Schizosaccharomyces pombe: one gene and its partners. Changing the gene in region 4 together with the main gene of any one other region gives a genetic interaction. Each region holds a gene or a part of one and is shown on either strand. Other genes may lie near its edges.

Region 1 (5,484 bases), on a different chromosome or scaffold from region 4:
TTGGTATCGTTTTCAACGATATGTAGAAGTGCCGTAAGTTTTTCTTGTGACCTATCATATTGCAATACGCAGGCAATCTGAGTATAGGTATTGTATTATCTAGGTTTCAATGTTACCTATCACAAATATAGCTTATAATTGAACCTCGTTCCTCAGTTCAGTTGGAGCTCTATTTATAATATTTATAGACACTTGTCAACAAAAGGAATCTATTCATATAGACGGGTAGTCACCCGTGATTATCAACAAACGGATCTTAACTAGTATTCCAACATATGACATATAGTGACACGCAACGTAGTGTAGTATGCTGACACGCTAATAAAGGCAAACGACCTTCGGTACCTTAATTCTAATACAAACTGTTTATAACTGCGTTATATTGTTAGCAAAGCCACTTAACGAGAGTATCAAAAGTTTGTTTTTTGTTTATTTAGCGTTGCGTGGGAATTCAGATGATGGGAAGTAATTTCTTGCTTGCTAGTTTTTGAAATCATCTTTATGTATGTTTTAGGTATAAACACTTAATTGGGTCATCGACTCACTTAATAGGAATCTTTTAAAGCACAAATATAACTTGATCTTCTGTTTATTTACACGAAGGGTTATTTCCATGGCTTTCTGTGTGTAATACTACAACTACTTTTAACTCTAACATGGAAAGTGCAGCGACAGATTGATATGAGTTTACGTTTATAAGCGAAATAGTAACATAGCTCTATAATGAAAATGTCCACACGAATATACATATTATTAAATGATTATATATTAAAGGTTGTAATAGCAATAGTACATCAATCAATATGGCTAAAATAGATTTTAAAAGAAACAAATCAAATAGTTTCTACTGATCATGTACAGCAAACAATTGATTTTCAATAAATAGCATCGATCTTTTAAGCCGTTCAGATGTATTCGCAATATAGTTCTGCCAAGCGCCTGAAAGAACTCCAAAAAATATATCCCATACTGATTTCTCATTTGCTTCGACCAAAAGATTGTATCCTTCAGCAGGGGTTTCATAAAAAAAGCTAAACTTGTCAATCTGCCAGTCGACAAAAAGAGCAACTTTTCCAGGTTGCAGCTGATCTTCCGTTAAAATGCCACCAGCAAAACGAACAAGTCCGCACTCTAATGCGTATAATTTGGTTATAGTGTCATTAAGGATAAGGCGTTTTTTAGCTCGCGTAAGAGCAACATAAAGGATATTGATTTCCTCTTGCAAGTACCTCGAAGATCCAATTCGTGAAAAAGAAACACTATCAAATTTTGGTCGAAAATCATTACCCAATTGAACATTATCCCATTCAAGACCCTTAGATTGATGTGCTGTTGCCAAAATAATACCGTTGTCACCATCGTCTTTAGAGTCCATCAATCTTTTTTCACAATTGTCCAATCGGCTCAGAAAGCTTTCACTAAATAATTCGTCGGCCATATCATATACTAAAGCCAATTCGGCATCTTCTTCGGCTGAGTTTTTTACGTGCACTTCAAATTCTCCCCAAGAGGAAAAGTCTTTTAACTTTGGGTGCGAAGGGCGCTGCCCATGCGCTAGTTCTGAACCACTTCGCAAAAGTTGGAATGCTTTTTTCCTCATTGAGCCAAGAATAGCAATGGGTATCTCCTTAGGTAATGACACTGATAGCCGAATCGATTGTAGGATTAATTCTGTATACGTTAGCTTTTATCAATATAAACCATTGCAAACCTTTATTAGTGCGAAAAATAATCGTATGAGGAAAAAATCGAAACGCTCCACTAACATTGTTGGGATTACTTGCTGAAGACCAATACGCATGGTCATTTTGTACCCCTTTAAGCTTAACGTTCTCTCCCTTTAATGAAAGCAAAAAATTTGCATATTTTGCAACAGAGTTTCCAAACCGGAAACTCTTAGTAAGGCACAGTTGCTTTGTGGAAGGGTACAAATTTTCATTGAAAGCACATGCATTTGCACCACGAAAACCATAAATGCATTGGTGTGCATCCCCAACGATGACAATTCGGGCGTGTTTCTGACGATAAATAAGGTCGACCATACACGGAGTAAAATCTTGAGCCTCGTCAAAAAGAATGTAGTCATATTTTGAAAAAATATTAGGGAATTCATACAAATGTAATAATTTCATATATGCATCAGGTATGAGAGGAGCATGGGTATATTCAAAGTTTACAATAAGAGACCACAATTTTTTTGTATAAGCCAAAAGCTTCTCTTTAGAGAGTTTTGTAACTTCCAGGCTTCTTTTACTTATATGACGAAAACCAAGCTGCCAGTCAGTGGAGTGCATGAACCTATTTAATGTAAACATGATATGAGAAGCTACCAAGCTAGCGGATGGTGTACCCGGATTATTTTTCCGATTTGCCTTTGGAAATGCAACTTGCAAAGACAAAAGTGAAGCTATAGTAGAATTTGATAATTGCCGCTCAAGTTTAGCTTGCGGCAAATCGGCCTGTGCAAGTATAGCACCATAAGCAAGACCATGCATGGTGGAGCATTTGACATTAAATGGAAATCGTAATTCTGCGTCTTCTTTTGCGGCCTTGTTAAAAGCAACATATAAAATTTTATCTTTTGGACGAGACTTGGCAAATTCCAATAATGCTTTGGTTTTGCCAGTACCAGCGAATGCTTTAACTTTTAGAACCTCTCCTGGGTTTAATTGACATTCAACAATCATTTTTTGTTCAGAGGTAAGGCCCTTAGTGTTAGGTTCATCATAAGGGGATTCAATGACAGCTACAATGTTGTGAATCCTAGTACACGAAGTAATTAGTGTTTGTGAAAGTGGGTCACGATAATGTTCATAATCTGTGCGGACTACAGTAAAGATAGAGTCCAGAAAATAAGCAAATTCTATAGCGGACGTTGAAGATAGCATATAAAGCGTATTGAAAAAATACCACAAATCATCTTCAAATAGTATCCCTACGAACAAACTTAAAAGCAGATTGCTAGTAGTAGTCCTACTTTTTAGAGAAGATATAGCTTCTCGAGCTGCAGGGGAGAAAAAGCTTTGAACCTGCATGCATATTGAGCTTATCCATTCTAAAGGAACATCATCTATGTGAAAAAAAGATGCTTTAATAGAACTTCCAAGATGATCAACTGTATGAGTCTCACTGACAAGATGGTCAATAGCATGTCCAATTTGTTCCACTTTCATAGGACCCGGGGGAAGCCCACAAATATTTTTTATTTCATCTGATTTACTATAGTATTCTCTCTCAGCTGGTGTGGATGAAATTTGGGTGCCATTGACAAATCCATTCATCGCTGAGCTCGAAACACCAGCAGCATAAGAACCACGAAGCAATCGATTTCGACGAATTCGTAACTCATAATTTTTCTTTTTCCAAAAAAGGTCATTAGAAGAGTCTAAAATAGTTTGAAAGGATGGGAATACACGTATGAAACTTTGGATATCCTGAACAGAAAGAAACCTGCAGATCAATGGGATAATTTCAAGTGGCAGTCTATAAAATTTGCAGCTATGTAAATGTTGAGCACTCATATAACTAAGAATTTGCTGACTGGGTGCTTGACTGAAAAGAAAGAACAAATTGCATTAGAAGAATTGCTTGTTGGTTGGGTATGTGCAAATTTAAGAGTAGTAAAAATACCAGAACTAGTTTATGAATGAGCAACGAACATTAAAATAAATCCAATCTTTTAAAATAAAATACATTCCTTAACCTATATAATTATTTCTCTCCGAAGCATGCTGTCGTTACAGAAATACTTTAACCATCTGCAAATTGAAAGAATTCCCATAATTTCTTATGTAAAAGTAAGTTTCATTGAATAAATAATTAACTCAAAAAGACTCTATTACTTTTTGTGTTGAAAAAATCCTCTACTTTATTTTGTAAATTGTAATTTTTTATTAATTGATGTATCATTCTTATTCTCATGATTTAACTAATTATTTATATAATTATTTCTCATCAACGACCTCTTGGTTGGTTTTTATTATACTTTCTTTAGACACTATAAATGCCACGTTTAGCAATATCACTTTTGTTGATATTTTAATGGAAACCGGTTTCACCAAAAATAGAAGTTTAGACCAGACAACATGCGGTATTAAATTCGGCTTCGTCAACTAAATTTTTTTCTACACCTAGTCTATTTATTCATCAATGCTCTCAATTTATTAAATGAAACCGAATAGAAGGATAAATCCTCACAATTTTCTTTAATTGCGGAAAATACATTTTACGGTTGGTAATTTCTGGGCCGATAACAAAGAAAGAATTCACCAGTAGTCAATGATGTTGATCCTTAGCGAAATTCAGCAAGTCAAGCAAAATTGTTTATAGAAAGAAAAAATTAATTAAAATGTTGATGTCCAGGCTCGAATCAACACCTTTCTCAGCTATTTTTTGAACCTTGCTAATCGCCTAACTATAAATAAATTACTATTTATTAAGTAGTCAATAACCTCCACCAACTTCTGAATCTCAACTTTGGCAGATAATCCGTGAATCGGTTTTGGGAAAAAATATTTTGTACATTGATTTACATAACATTGGTATTTAATTTTTGTTCCCAGTCCTTCGAAGTATAAAAAATCTAATGCTCTCATCATAAACCATGAAATTACTGATATCTCTTCTATGGAGTATATTCTTTTCCATAGTTTATTCAGAAAAAACATTACTGGTAAAACAATCAGATTTCTTGCGTATCATTTGCTAACTGCGGCTTCTTGCTAGAATTTCAAGCATTATGAATTGTGCAATGGCATTTACTCGAAATCGGAATCTGGAGGGTCTTTAAATCCAGCAATTTATGGTATGTACATATCTTTTTTTACGCTTTTATTTAAAAAACTTACGACGTTAGTGAATTGGACTGAACCATGGGGTCAAGAAGATGAAGTTGAGGTTTTGATATTCAATTGGAAAGAAATCCGCAAGTTAGGTGCATTCCGTTCTGATGATCAATTCACTTACATTTGCGATTACGATGCGGTATACACGGATCACCTATGTGAAGCCGATCAACTGGGACTATATTTGTGGAACTCAACGTCAGCAAAATCCATTCGTTCTTATATAATTCCGACAAATGCTGACCCTCAAAACATTATATATGAAATCTCTCAGTCAGGTTATTATTGCATTTGGTCTCATTCGAAAAAAATGTTACCTTATCAAGCTCTTGTCAATTGGCAAAATGCGTATGGTGGGCTTCCCGCTTCTCAATTCCCTAGAATGCCTATATCTGGTGGAATCACAATCGCTTATAGTGTAATTCTTGCACTTTGGATGTTTTTCCGATTTCAATATAAACATTCGATTGTTACCGTTCAAAAGGCAATTATGTTCTTGCTAATCTTTTCGTGTGCTCAACAGGCTGTCACTTCTATTGTGTTGGATACAGAAAATTTGAGAAATCGGGGGAACTTCACATGGTTAGGAGAGACTCTGGTGTCAATTTTGTTTGCGTGTCAGTTAGTCTTGGACCTTGCG
Region 2 (4,859 bases), 1.7 Mb from region 4:
ACATACTTTAATAGAACGGGTCTCAACTTTCCAACTGCAGAGGTCAGATTGGACCATTTCTCAATTGATCCTAGGTTACCTGGCACATCTTTGCTTCAAATCAAAATGCCGCATTCTCCTCGAAATAGTGCTATGGGCAATTTTATGGTTTCTGTCGATTTTCAAGATAGAAATCAAAGATCTCTGAAGCAGGTTAAACGAACAGTCTTGCTTCCTCATAGGTCTCCTATTCACGAATACCTTAAGCTAATTGTATGTTCACCTCTTTACTTCATGGGGATTTTGGAAGAAACAGATATTGTCAATGTCCGTTTGTTCGAATCTGAAACATTTGCTAAAAGTTTTAATTCAATTACAACACTTTCCGTTAGATTTTCTGTCAAAAATACTCCAGCTCAAGCTATTGTCAAAATTTATTCTAAAGATATTGAATTTTACGAAGCGACTCTAGCTTTTGCATCAAAATTGCACGGCATGCGGTAAGTTTTACTTTTTGATTTACCTTCTTCATTTTTTTTACTTTACTCAATTTCTTTACCTGTTATACTTTTTCACAAACTAACTTGTCCTTACTAGCTGGTTCATGTATACGCATAAGGTTTCCGCATTTCTCGTTTTCACATCTTTATTTTGGTTTACGGGGATAACCTCAACGATAATTACCTATCTTATTGTCTCTTCCACATCTGAAACAAAAGCAACAAGACGTTGAATCTTCTCACATCTTCACTTGCATCTAAAATCATAATCGTCACAACCATAAAAATACATTATTATTAAATTAGAAAGTTCCATTATTGCTTTATCCGTTAGACCCATTATTCAGCTGCACCTTTATGTACAAAAAGTTGAAAAAGGGTAAAGCAATTTAAATCAGCACTGATTTTTTTTTTAGAAAAAAAAAATCTTTCGCTAGCATCTTCATTTTCGTCATTATTTATTAGTCGCCTAATTATCAAGAAGGCTGTACCAGTTCATACCGTCCATAAAGGAGTATAATTATATGTTCGCAAAATGTAAATACAACACGCAAAAAAGCTTGCAATAGCTCGGCGCACAATATGTAATCAAGTCCGTAAAAACAGGCAAAAAGAAAAAGGACGTAAAAAAGTCGCAAAATGTTGGATTTCATAACCGATAAAAGAAGCAAAGGTTGTCCTTTCGTTGCTAGAAAATGGGGGTTGTCTGCATTAACAGTATCTTGAGACGCCATAAAATCTTTAGAGGAGTTATTCATTGTTGTATTAGTTGCCATGAGTCCTGTTTCATCGTCACTAAAGCTCGAAAGAACTGTGCATTCGTGGCTTGATTCTTCATATGTTGGCATAGAGGAATCGTACCGACGACAAAAGTCGTTTAGGGTTGGAGACATTTTGGAAAGGCTTTGAATAATCCATTTTTGGATACCAATTTCCTCTGAAAGCATCAAAAATCCAGCAACCAATTCTTTGTTTCGCGAACTTTCAGCAGTAAGAGAGCTTTGCAATGATTGACTTATGTGTTTGCATTCTTCTATCGTTTTCTTTTGTTGTTTACATTTAAATTCCAATTCTCTTAATTCTTCACTTTCCCGCATTCCAACCGCAGGAATAGAAATGCAAACTGATGGTTGAGTGAAAGAAAGGCCAACCTCTTTGGAGTAAACCATTTCGTCAAGGTTAGAGGGTGATAAAAATTCATCTCCTTTTGGGTTATTAGACAAAGCAATTAAATGTTTTTCTCTAGTAAGATCATCTATGTGGTTGTTTAGCTGATTATTAGAATTTTTTAATTCATGGTTCTCTAAAGCAAGCCGACGAATAGTATTCTCATTTTCACTTGACCGAGATGCAGCCAAGCTTAATTCCTCAATTTTCTTAGTCTGATCTGTAAACTTACGCAAGAGAGTGGCATACCGAACTTGCAAGGCTGAAAGCTCTTTTTTTGTGGAGTAGAGGCCAGAGTTTGTCTGTATGAGTTCTGACTGAATTTTCTGAAAGTTTTTGTGAATGTTTAGATTTTGAGCCTTAAGAGTCTTAATTTGGTTATTTTGCGAATTATTGGCTACCTTAGATTCATTATATTTGGAATCTGCCATATTTAGTTGGTGGGTAAGTTCATTCACTTTTCCTTCTAAAATATCTACAGTACGAGATTTCTTTCTAGCTTGATCTCGAGCTTTATCTAACATATCCTGGAGTTCTGTGATTTGCTTGATTAGATCATGGTGCCCGTTGGAAAAATCAGGTTTATCCTTCCTAACAAGTGGCATCTCAGTATTTCTGGACGACGTATTTCTTCTTGTTAGAATTTTAATGACTTTTCTAAAAAAAAAATTCTTACCTATTTAGTGGTGTAGATTGGGCAAATGGAGTTCGAAGAATATTGACAAAATCACTGTCGGTAAATTGAGACATCGGCGGCAAGGACAGTCTCTTAGACATCATTTGAGAAGGGTTTAAGGATTCAGGAGAGGCATTAGAAGATGATTTTGAATGTGCAGAATTGACAGAGTGTTCATTTGCATCCTCTTTGATAGAATTTTTGGAATTCTGTTGCTCCATCGAAGGCTTTTCAGCTTGATTCGCAAAAGAGTCATCTTCGTTTTCAGTAAGTTTTTTATATACGTCTCGAAAATTATCCTTTGTAATAGAGAGATCTGCATTTTGCCGTACGAATTCGAGTGTACATTGTTTTTGGAATTCGCTCAAAAGAGGTGGTGCAGAAGCGGGATGTAAGAGTTGTAGGTCATTGATGATTGGCAAAAAGTTGGAAAGATGAACCTAAGAAAATTTTTTGTTAATAGTTTATCCTATTGGTAATTGGGTAAAGCGAGAAAAACCAGAGTCTTGAGAGTTTGTCTCTGACTCAATAAACAAGATCTACCTGCATAAGCAATCAATTTTTTTCATACTTTTCCTTCATGTTTAAAGTCATATGAATCGAAAATCAAGTCAAAATCGCGTTCATTTAGCATTTTGGAAAGGGAACTGGCAATTATAATTATACAGGAAACGAACCACAATTCTAGTGGGAATGGGATTCAGTTTTGAATTTTTTTGTTAGAATTTATCATAAAGCTGCGTGCATTTCATAACAGTTCACGAATTCACCGCATTTCTTAAGTGTTGTGAGTTGGGTTTCGTGCAAGGTCTATCCAAGGGTTTGGCAGTAGGGCTGTTGAGCAAGTGGTTTGAGAGACCAAAAAGAAGTACACAGAAAAAGACGGATTAAAATAAAACTTGAAAATAGATAAAAAGATGTTAGAAGAAATCATGTTTATGCTTGATTTAAGAGCAGCTAGAAAAGTAAGGCCACAACTTGGTCGTACTGTGCATACTTAAGTGATAATTCAAATGAAATCGCAAATTAAAAAAAAAAAAAAAAAAAATTATTTTTAGTGAAGTAGAAACTATTCGTATTTGTTTTATAGATCGATCGATTCCTCTGAGAACTTCAAGCGAATTTGCAGTAATTTAGAACGCCAGCATTTATAATTGCGGGTCAAACAACGATCGCCCAAGAATCTTTCATAGACTCCAAATAAGATTGGTTGATTACTTAACTTATATTTTGATCCTTGAATCGTTTTAGTCAATCAACGTCGTATATATTGTACTTTTTAAAAAATACAAGGTTTTGATCGTAAAAAAAGAAATGCATAGAAAAGGTCAGATTTTTTCATCCAAGAATGTGCAATAAATACAGAAATTACTTCTTTTTCTTTCAATTTAGCCAACTCTTTCGAAAACGTCTTCTATTTACATTTTCTATATAGCTACTACTCAGTCAAAACAGTTGGTTAGCATGTTACTTTATGAGAAGCGAGCGATGTGACGTCAAAGGTTTTTTGGCGAAATTAACACTGTCCATATGTATATGTGTTTGAGCGTGTAAAACCTGGTTTCTGCCATTTACATATTTTGAAACCTCTGTACGCTAGTTTAGTTATTTCTCGTATCATTTTATTTTTAACTGGTGCAAGAGACAAGAAAATTCATTTACTTTCGTGAAGATTTGAAAAATTCGTTTGTCAGCTTAGAATTCTTTGCTAGCAGCATTATTTGTACATTTTCAATTGGACCTCTCTTAGCTTTCAAATTTTATTAAATCTTCTTTGTTTTCTTTCTCTTTTGTACGAAGTGATCATCGAAAAGATAGAGAACATCGGGGTTTCCATTTATGGGCGATAATGTATTTTTAGAGCCTGATCCATGGGCATCTAGCAGTAATTGGGGTTCACCAGTGAAGCCTTTAAATTATAAAACAGCAATTGGTTAGTAAAAGTTTTGTTCTTCTGTTTTTTCCTTCTCAATTAATAGTTAATTTTACGGATCGATGCATTCTATCATTGATTTGTTTCTTTAGCTTGATTTTTTTTTTTTTCATCTTTCTTGCTTTTTTACTTACTTACTGTAATGATGCTAACCTTTTTCTTTTTCTTTTTTTTGTCTATAGGTAATTCATCCATTCCTTTGCAATATCGAAATTATTGGGACGTGTTTCAAGCAAACAATGTTCTCTTATTTCCAGAAGAAGAAAGTTATTCTGATATATTTCATGTTCCTCAAGATGTAATGAAAGAGTTCTTTACCTTGATTGAATCATCAAGCAATCAACCCTTACGGCAAATTCAGTTTTTCGTTTTGCTTGCCTTGGTTGCCTGTTATCAATTAGGTGTTCCTAGCACATTGGAACAGATTTTCAAGCAAAGAAATGGTAAGGCTTTTTTTTATCTTTGCTTTTTTTTGTCTTTTTGCTTACTTCCTCCTCCTTAGTCCTGCCCATTTTGCAGCGTTTTAATCCGGAACTTTTCAATCGTAGTTCTGATAATGAAACCCCTCTTTTTCCTAATAATTCTCCTCCTGCTTCAACAACCG
Region 3 (5,166 bases), on a different chromosome or scaffold from region 4:
GCATGAAGATAGGCGTATTATTCCTTAAAGATAATCGGTGTCTCAAACTACGAGAAGTCACTGCCAAATTCGAATTATTGGATAACAAAAATATTAATCTTAAAACTTCTAAAGGTAAAGACTCAAAAACCGTTAACGCTCTAGCTTTTCCATCAGTCAAATTATTTTTGACCTTTCTTTTCGTAATTTTTTCATTATAGTCATTTTTTATGGTCTGTTTTCGCTTTTTACCCATCTTTAACAAGATTTTTGGAGCTCACCAACAGACACTATTTAGTGCTGAAAAATTTAAACATGTATAGAAAATAAATGACTACAAAAGATAATTTAACTTAAAATATTTACAACATTTTCATAATAACCCAAATAGTTGGTTTTTTAAAAGAAAAGAATAAATCTGATACTTATTTGCTCAAAGGTTCAAAGAAGAAACTCAAGGTTTTGAAAAAGCAATGTATGTGCTACTAAAAAATGAAAATCAAAACCTAGAATTGTACTAACAACACCAAAAACAAGCTGAAATCTAATGTTTAAAAAAAAAAAATTAATTATATGTAAAAGAGCTAAATAAGTATAGCTAAAACCTAAATGAACTATGGAAAAATAAATGTTGATAATAATACATGAAGGAAACCAGAAATCAAAATTCAGTACTGTTTTTTGAATTAAAAATTATATGTAACAAAGTCGGCTTGAGAGAGAAGTTTCAACGTACGAAAGAAAAATTAATTTCAAATAAAGTCACCATCTTCGTCCGAATCGAGATCGCGTCCTTGTGTAGTCATGGCATGCTTAAATTTTAGCATTTTTAACTTTGCCCTTTTGATCTTGCTACTCGTTGAAGCAAGTGTTACTGTATTTACAAATGGCAAATCCGTAATGTTTGACGAAAAAGGCTCAATAGGTAACGAACAAGACTCTTGAAAAGTTGGTAAAATAGGAGATTTCTTTCCCGCTTTAGAAAAAATATCCGGAATTTTGGTAAGTATTTTCGGAGGCTTTTGGTTTTTGCTGGGTGAGAGATTTACAGCTCGAACAGTAGGCGAGGATGAAATGGTATCCGAAGGAGAAGAGTCCGTTTCAATAGCATTAGGAACATTTCCTTTTTTCTTTTGGACTTGGTCCGAAGAAGAAACAGTAAACGAAGGGACATTAAAAGGGCTAGAAAATACCGACACATTTCTGGATTTCGAGTTTTTAGGCAACGACGAATGTTCCCCTGAAGATATTATAGAAGTAGCTCCAAAACCGTCTTTTCTTTTCGAACCATTTGCATATTTAGGATATATCAACAAGCCTGTTCTCAGCGATACACCTGAATGTTTGGCCAAGGAAGGATGTTTGGCATGTTCAAGCACAGTAGAAGGTGAAACGTTAGGATTGACTGCATTGTTGGATTGTAGAAAGATTGAAGAAGAAGCACTAGATCCATTAAGTTCGTTTGAGCGAAGGGACGTGCCTAAGTGAGAGTGACTCCTACCAAACGAGGACGAAGATGCTGGTTTAACTAAAGGAGATGAAAAAGACGGTACACGAAACTTCACGGGTTGAAAGGCTTTTTTGTTGGGCAAAGCCAAAGGTGTTAAAAGAGATGACGAATCTAGCGAAGGAATGTGTTCATCCTCTTCTGATGCTGCATCTAGAAAATCAGGAGAGTTTGGTATTTCATTATCAGTTGTTTCTGTTACATTTTGAAGCGATGCCAGCTCGGCAGCAGTTTTGACACTTCTTTCGTACAAGTTTTTTGAGGGGTCGGTAACTGTGATATTAATAAAGTTTTGTCGTTTCCCCGTGGGTTTCCGAAGCAGAGGTAACGGAAGGCGAGTCAAACGGAGACGTTTAGAAGTAGGACTGGGTTCTGCAACAGAAGAATCTTGTCTTTGATGATCATCATTTAGCCCATCGTTTTTGTTGGAAGGTATGGTATTACAAGCGCGGGAAGAATGAGGAGATCGAGCATGATTATTAGAAACTTCTTCATTTCCATTTTCTAATGCCTTCACGGAGACACTTACGTTATCATTACTTAGGTTTTGTAACAAATGACCAGCATTTGAATTATTTAGAGTGGTAAAATCATCTGCCTCGAGATCGGCAGAAGGGGAAGAAAAAAAGTCAGAAGCTATGTCGTCTTCTCCAAATTCTTCTACAGGATCTTCAACCAAGGTGCCATTAAAAGACTTGGGTTTTGACAAAACAGGGATATATGCAATTTTCGAAGGTTTCGGTAGCGCAGTTACGGATGAGTTAGATGGGGGATAGGGAGAGGTATTGTTAGCTCGATTAGATTCCTCAACAGAAGAAGCTAGATATGAGTTTGGTCTAAACTTAGCTTTGGGTTGTATTTCCGGTGTTACTGACAGTTGATGCTTACTTGAACATCTCAAACTACCAATATCTGAGTCATCTACTCCATAAGATTGCAAATTTGCGTTCCGGAAGATCGTGGATTTTGTTGAATTTGTATGATGAGCGTGTGTTTTTAACATATTTGACGATAAAGCACCATTTGAATTGTTAGATACATCTGAGTTAGCGGAGTGAAATGGAGGCTGGAATGGTTTTAATAAATAAGCTGGCCTCTTCCCTGTCTCACTCAATTTTGATTTCCTCGGTATAGGTGGAATATTCGCTTCAGTAGTTGTTTGTAAATTCTCAACGTAAACAATAGTTCTATTAAATTCAATTTCAGAATCCAGAACAATTCTCTTGTTGTTAAGGAAAAAATCATCTACGACTCGGTTATCAGAATCGTAGAGAATTCCACGATTATTGAAGCTGTGGAAGCGCATTGTCCCATCTTTCCAAACTTTTACTTTTTTTGCTTTATCAGACGTCCACAATACTTGATAATGAAAAACATTGGAACTTGTATCCATAGAATATAAGTTTTAAAGCCTGTAAAGGCAGTTCCGAAAGGTGGCTTACGAAAAGCTTAATATTGTTGAAAAAAACTCACAAACCACCCTATTTAATAATTAATTAAAGAATAAGAGTGAGAATATCTATTTCATGTATAAACCTCATTTGAGCATTAATTGCTCTCGCTTTAGGAATGGGAATTACGTGCTTTTGTTGGATGGTAGTTAGGAAATGGTTGGTATACAGCAGAAAGTTGAAATCTAGGAAAGTAAATGATCTCAAGCCAGAAAATTACATCTTTGTAGAATCCTTAAACAAGGTTTCCTTTTCTTTTCTTTTTCTTTATGAACTACAAACGAGTTGAGCTTTTGGTTATTGATATGAGGTACTTGTTTACACGCCGAAATGATTGAAGGTAACTTTATAATACGCAAGCAGAAGCAGATTATCTCTTGAGATGGTTTCAAGAGAGATGCTTATTTTTATTAATTTTACTAATCTACAAGGTCTAATATTTGATGGGTTTTTCTTTAGTAAAAGGTCTCTTAGTGCCCAAGGAAGCAAAACTGTTAGATAATTTTCAATATCCTGTATCGAGAAACGGAAACAATGGTTAATAATCCCGATTGATAGTTTCATAGGGACAGACTGTGTGTATACATAATGATATATAAAAAAAGATGTCTTTTTTCACCTTAAACCATGAAGTTTACAGTTGAGCTTACAGAGGCAGATTGCTTCAAATATTCGTAATGTAAAATTATTTATCTTGTAAATTTGTATCTATCGTCGCATTATAATAGAGAATCTAAACATAGCAGTTGGAGATAAAACTGATTCTTTTGTTCTTCTATCGCTTTTGAGGTTTGCAGGCAAGAAAATTCATCAAAGATGATTGATGATACGATTAGGTGCAAAAGTACTTATGTTATAATTTTAGCAACATAAAAGGCCTATAGAGGGTAATTCTGCTCGAAATCTTGAACTTGCAATTCTCATCACCATGTCGAAGATAGGTACAAATTAAGTTATTAAAGTTGGTTTAAGCGCACTGATAGAAATTTACCTAAAATTTAGTACTTGGACGAAATTTAGGAGAAAAAAGCCCAAGAAGATGAAGAAAGTTGTTTCATTGTAATAATAAACCTGAAATCTTTTGTCAATTCTAATTAATACCCTTTCAAAAAAGAAGACTGATCTTTGCAATCACTAAAACTATTAAATTTATTGAGCAGCTGAAGAATCATCTGTCTATAATTTGCAACAAGAAGTAACTGAAGGGGAGTTAAAAAATGAGTATCAACCATTATGGCATCTGTCGCTTTGCTTCTTCTTCTTTAAGCTAAGTAATTTCGATTATATGCTCCAAGAACTAAGTATATTAATTAAATCATGAAATATTTTCAAGGATAAAATTAAAACAATTTTGTACTATTAAAAAAATGTAATTACTGTTGTGCGTATTCCAGATATCAGCTTGCTCTATAATCATCAAAAAACCTGTAATTATAAGCGAGTAACACTAATAAAACCAGACAGACTTTAAATCAAAAAATTTCATTTATTAGCTCGTATATCTGAAAAAGATAGGCAAATTTTTTTATTAAAGGAAGTCCCAGAAATGACTTCACTTGAGAAGATATATCGCTAAAACTAGAATTTGTATTGCAATATCAAATAAAAATTACAATTATTCTGATTTTATAAATCAATTTTTAAGCTATGTAGTAATGTACAATTAATACACATGTAGTTAGAAGAGTCGCCAAAATTTGCATAAGAAGTATTAAGGTTCTTTTTACTAATATCAGAGAGGGTCTTTAAAATTATTTAAATTTTCTTTTTCTTACTTAGGGAAACTGGCATTTTTGCTATATGATGCGAACCCTTTATTTACACTTGACTCTACTATGACAACTACCTCCTGCTCTTACTTACTGCCATAACCGTGAATAGACATTTGAATAGAAACTTCGATCTTCACTCATAGTTGGAACTTTTATAGTACGAAAAAAACATTATAAGTTAAATTACTTGTTTGGGAATAAACCTCAAGTTAAGCATTCAGTTCATTATGGAACGATATGTAACCATCGCATCTTGGTATGCTATAATCATTTTTCGTCTCAATGATCTAACTTCTGTAGTCAGCTGAACCAGTGGGCAATGGACTTTGAGGGAAACCGTCTACGCATCATTGATTCCATCAAAGAGGCGAAAAGACAAAACGCAAGCCTTCGTGTTGGTCCAGAATTAGAAGTCACGTATGTAATAGAAATGGATTTAAATGTTGCAAGTGTATCA
Region 4 (3,663 bases):
CTTTTCATACATCTCGTTGGAACTTAACTTATCCTTTGCAGTATTCATATTAGTAATTTCATTATGGTTTTCAAAGGGGATAGAGGTTTCCGAACCAATATTCTCAAAGGCGGGTAAACTGACAGGCTGATGCGGCTCTAAAGACAAATCCTTTAAAGTTACTTTCTCGGAAGCCGATACTTGTGGTTGTGAAATCGGCCTTTTATTTTCTTCAATCTTATCATGAATAACTGCATCTTTATCTCTAGGAGTATTTGATAATTGATGCAAAATTTCAAGGTTTTCAAAGGGATCGTAATTTGAAGATTTGGGGGTGGAATTGGAGTCCGGAGTTCCAACTTTCTGCCTTTCTAGTTCTTTTAAGGAAATTTTATTATCCGTTTTCTTTTGAAATAAATTAGCAAAAGGGTCTTCGGGCTTTGATGCTTTCAATGGAATTTGTGCATTCTTTTTCTGGGCTACTGGGGCGGGAAGGGAGTAGGATGGCGTTCTACTATTATTATTACTGTAATTATTTTGATTAGATGGTGTAGATTTATCGTAAAAATTGAAATCTAGCAAGTCATCCATGTTGGAGGCTTTATTATGGGAGTGTAGTGAAAGTAGGTTGAACTATCCAAGAACTTAACGTACTGAGTGCTTTCCACTTTTGTCGGCATCAGCTAATTTTCCTTTGATCCATGAAGGAAATTCTAGAATTGCTTGTATTTCCGCTTTTTTCTGGATAAACAGCATTCGCTGTAGCTGTTCACGAACAACGGGCTCCTTTTGGAAGCCTTCAAATTGTAATAATGTTGTAATCATTTTAATATCCCTTTTATTCAATTTTAAAGAGAATTCTTGGTTTTTATTAAAAATGTCCTCATACAGAGGGCCTAAAAGCTGTAAATTTCGTAATTGACTGTGCGGTTCATGACTGTAGGCATTAGAACCGTACTTGAAACAGGAATAAATGCATAAGCCATGGGGGTCCCAATCAAAAATACCAAAAAATTTAGCATCCGGGAGGGCTTTGGCTAATTTAACTAAAAATTTTCTCGTCATCAAATCTGGAAATCCTTTAGCCTGTTACAAGCAATTAGTTAGCTAGCACTCTAACATCAATATCATTGAAAAGGAAGCATTCTCACTTACTGTAACAATTATTGTATCCGCTAAAGCCTCTTCGGTTAGCGTTTGGAATACCGCTTCCTTTTCGATGACCAAGACCCATTTTGCTGTGGAAGTGATTGATGAAATTCGATGGTGAGAGATTAATAATGGCTGTATTTAGTAAAATTCTTAGTTAGAAAAAACAATTTTTACGGTTATTAAAACTTGAACCTACTTTAGTAGCAGTAATTACTGTCCCGTTTTCAAGAGCAATATGAATGGACCCAAATACCAATCCTTTAGCAGATGCTTCCTAAGATCAAATTAATCGTTAATGAATCTATTTCCAAAGAAATGACTTACAACGTTAAGGTCGGACCTGGAGCAACCAATGGTGTTTGAAATATCTCCAAGCAGCTCATCGACTACGGTTTGTCGCTTGAATAAATCTACATCTCTGTAATAAATATCTCTGCAAATGTAATTAGAACTTAAATCTGAATTTTCGGCGTATAGTACAAAGCAATTACCGCTTAGTGATTACTGTATCCGAAATAACAGCTTCATGAACACAATCTAAAACCCTGAATAGTTGAGCAATTGTTGTTTCATTCCTGGGGAATGAAAAAACCTTAACTTTTTGTCTTTCATTGGCCTTTGAATCTAAGCTGCCATTCCAAGAATTGTGCTTTCGTCTTTTCAAAGCAACATTTACTGAATCTTTGGTAGGCTTACTTAATTGCTCAACAAAATCATGAACAAATTGCTCAATCCATGATCTAACAACTTTTTTTTTATCATTCGAATTCATTTTTTTTACTTTCTGGACGCGTTCAGCATTCTTTGCATTGTCTAGATAATTATGCAAAGCGCGTATGGTTACAGTGTAAAAAATCAATAGCTTAATTCAAATAAGCTATATCTAAGCGAGATTGTTTTCTGAAGAAATGATACATACATTCAATAAATGGGTAATATCAAGGCGAAACAGTATATGTGTTTTCGTTAACTGCTAAAAAATACTTACTGAAGACTTTCCTTCTGATAAAATGGTGTAAGAGAAGACTCACGCGAGCTTTGCGGACTGAATTGGTAAATCGTAAAGATGGATCGAAATTTGAAATTCCTAAACAACTTATGTTCTTGTCTACAGAAAAGTTGAAAGAAAAGTAAATATATTTGAACTCTTTCGAGTTCAAATGCAACATACGACAACTAAGAGCCATAGATCAAGCGGTTACTTAATTTATTTCTATAGTTTTAATTTTCTATAAAAATATGTATATCAACTGTTTCAATAAATATTGTACTTATAATTTCGTTTTGCCAACTCCTTTGTCAAGAGAGAAAACGTAATTAAAAAACATGGTCACAGCCAGGTTCGAACTGGCGACATTCGACTTATTAGATCGACATGATAACCGACTACATCATGCGACCAACTGTTAACTTGATGATTATTTAAACCTATTTATAATAACATTAATGTTAAAAATATGAATGAAACTGACCTTTTTATACAAAAGGTATATATATAAACAAGAAGGACTTTCATTTTAATTTTGATAAGACAGTTTGAAATATCCTCCAATCCAATTTAAGATTGTTTCTAGTTTACAGATTTTCAAATCAGGAATTACTAAGTCATTTGCAACACTAAACATGAAGAAGTAGTCTAACTCACTATCTGCTCGATGTATATGTTAGCATATGCTTTCCTTGTGCCAGCCCTAAAGAGAAACTGACAGTGGTTTGCTTTTGCAAATGAAAAAATAAAATTGGAGAACATACAATTGTACGAAAATGCTACCTATCCAAATGGGTCTTTAACGAATTTTTTAAGCTTAAAAGTTGCCATATGTAGTGTGTTTGCTTGATTCATTAATAGTCATTTATTATGGTGCAATACTTCGTCAAGACAATAGTGATAGCTTTTTTAACTTATTGCGAGAACAGAAGATAGCAATTAATCTGATGTACAAATAACGATAATATTCTAATGACATCAATGGAAAACAATAATGAAAATAGGCACTCCATATTGCTTCCCGAAATTTGTACTTGTGGCATAGCAGATAAACAGGACGAACTAGATAAAAAATGAGCAAGGGTTTCTAAAGGAGAATAATTTCATCAAGTTTTTTTTTTTTGCTTCTTCTTAATAAGTATTTAATACTCAAGAAAACGTAGAAACAATTAGGCAACAATAGCACTGTGGTTTACAGTTACCCTTTCTTATACAGAAAAGATAGAGGTTATGACAACTGTTAAAACATGGAATTTTGCATGATGAACCGGTATTACTTTTGTAAGTTAATACAATAACAAAAAGATAAAAGTTAATAGAAAATTTAGGGAAAAAGAAGTGCAAAGCTCTGAGAATCATTCCGATATACTTAGACAATAGTAAAATAAATAAATACTTAGAACACGGACGGATTTTGCAATTTTAAGAATTAGGAAGTCCCGTAGATATTATTTAGAAGAAATTTTCCAAAGCATAAACGAAGTAGATAAGGAAAGAGCATTTTTGGAAAACAAACTTAATGGTCAAAACTATGACCAAATTAA

The links.
Region 1: of rec12 (region 4) and fbh1, a mutation in one rescues a mutant of the other (synthetic rescue), as found in Schizosaccharomyces pombe (one study listed by BioGRID).
Region 2: of rec12 (region 4) and kms1, a mutation in one rescues a mutant of the other (synthetic rescue), as found in Schizosaccharomyces pombe (one study listed by BioGRID).
Region 3: of rec12 (region 4) and dbl2, changing one suppresses a phenotype caused by changing the other (phenotypic suppression), as found in Schizosaccharomyces pombe (one study listed by BioGRID).

Annotation. Positions count from the first base shown.
Region 1 is NC_003423.3:2,731,333-2,736,816, reverse strand, and holds fbh1 (DNA helicase I, ubiquitin ligase F-box adaptor Fbh1), read right to left. Parts: upstream 3,608-5,484; 5' UTR 3,522-3,607; coding exon 1,712-3,521; exon of another isoform or gene 1,672-1,711; coding exon 845-1,671; 3' UTR 733-844; downstream 1-732. Other genes in the region: SPOM_SPBC336.16 (uncharacterized protein), read left to right, coding at 3,901-4,116; SPOM_SPBC18A7.02C (seven transmembrane receptor-like protein), read left to right, coding at 4,604-4,672, 4,726-4,804, 4,856-5,484. UniProt on the Schizosaccharomyces pombe protein: Involved in ATP-dependent DNA-unwinding in a 3' to 5' direction, and ATP-ase activities stimulated by the single-stranded DNA-binding protein ssb1.
Region 2 is NC_003424.3:3,461,162-3,466,020, reverse strand, and holds kms1 (protein Kms1), read right to left. Parts: upstream 3,124-4,859; 5' UTR 2,957-3,123; coding exon 2,894-2,956; exon of another isoform or gene 2,763-2,893; coding exon 2,323-2,762; exon of another isoform or gene 2,277-2,322; coding exon 956-2,276; 3' UTR 713-955; downstream 1-712. Other genes in the region: sei1 (seipin), read left to right, coding at 15-479, 577-712. UniProt on the Schizosaccharomyces pombe protein: Has a role in karyogamy, recombination and segregation during meiosis. Although it has been shown to associate with the spindle pole body it is unlikely to be involved in its formation or maintenance.
Region 3 is NC_003421.2:308,252-313,417, reverse strand, and holds dbl2 (DNA recombination protein Dbl2), read right to left. Parts: upstream 3,105-5,166; 5' UTR 2,880-3,104; coding exon 732-2,879; 3' UTR 523-731; downstream 1-522. Other genes in the region: SPOM_SPCC736.02 (uncharacterized protein), read right to left, coding at 1-235; qns1 (glutamine-dependent NAD(+) synthetase), read left to right, coding at 4,937-4,965, 5,010-5,126.
Region 4 is NC_003424.3:1,771,165-1,774,827, reverse strand, and holds rec12 (DNA topoisomerase type II (DSB-forming) Rec12/Spo11), read right to left. Parts: upstream 1,904-3,663; coding exon 1,623-1,903; exon of another isoform or gene 1,565-1,622; coding exon 1,456-1,564; exon of another isoform or gene 1,406-1,455; coding exon 1,328-1,405; exon of another isoform or gene 1,264-1,327; coding exon 1,135-1,263; exon of another isoform or gene 1,066-1,134; coding exon 625-1,065; downstream 1-624. Other genes in the region: UBA/TPR/DNAJ domain protein Ucp7, read right to left, coding at 1-570. UniProt on the Schizosaccharomyces pombe protein: Required for formation of the double-strand breaks (DSBs) that initiate meiotic recombination. Required for crossover recombination and chiasmatic segregation of chromosomes during meiosis I.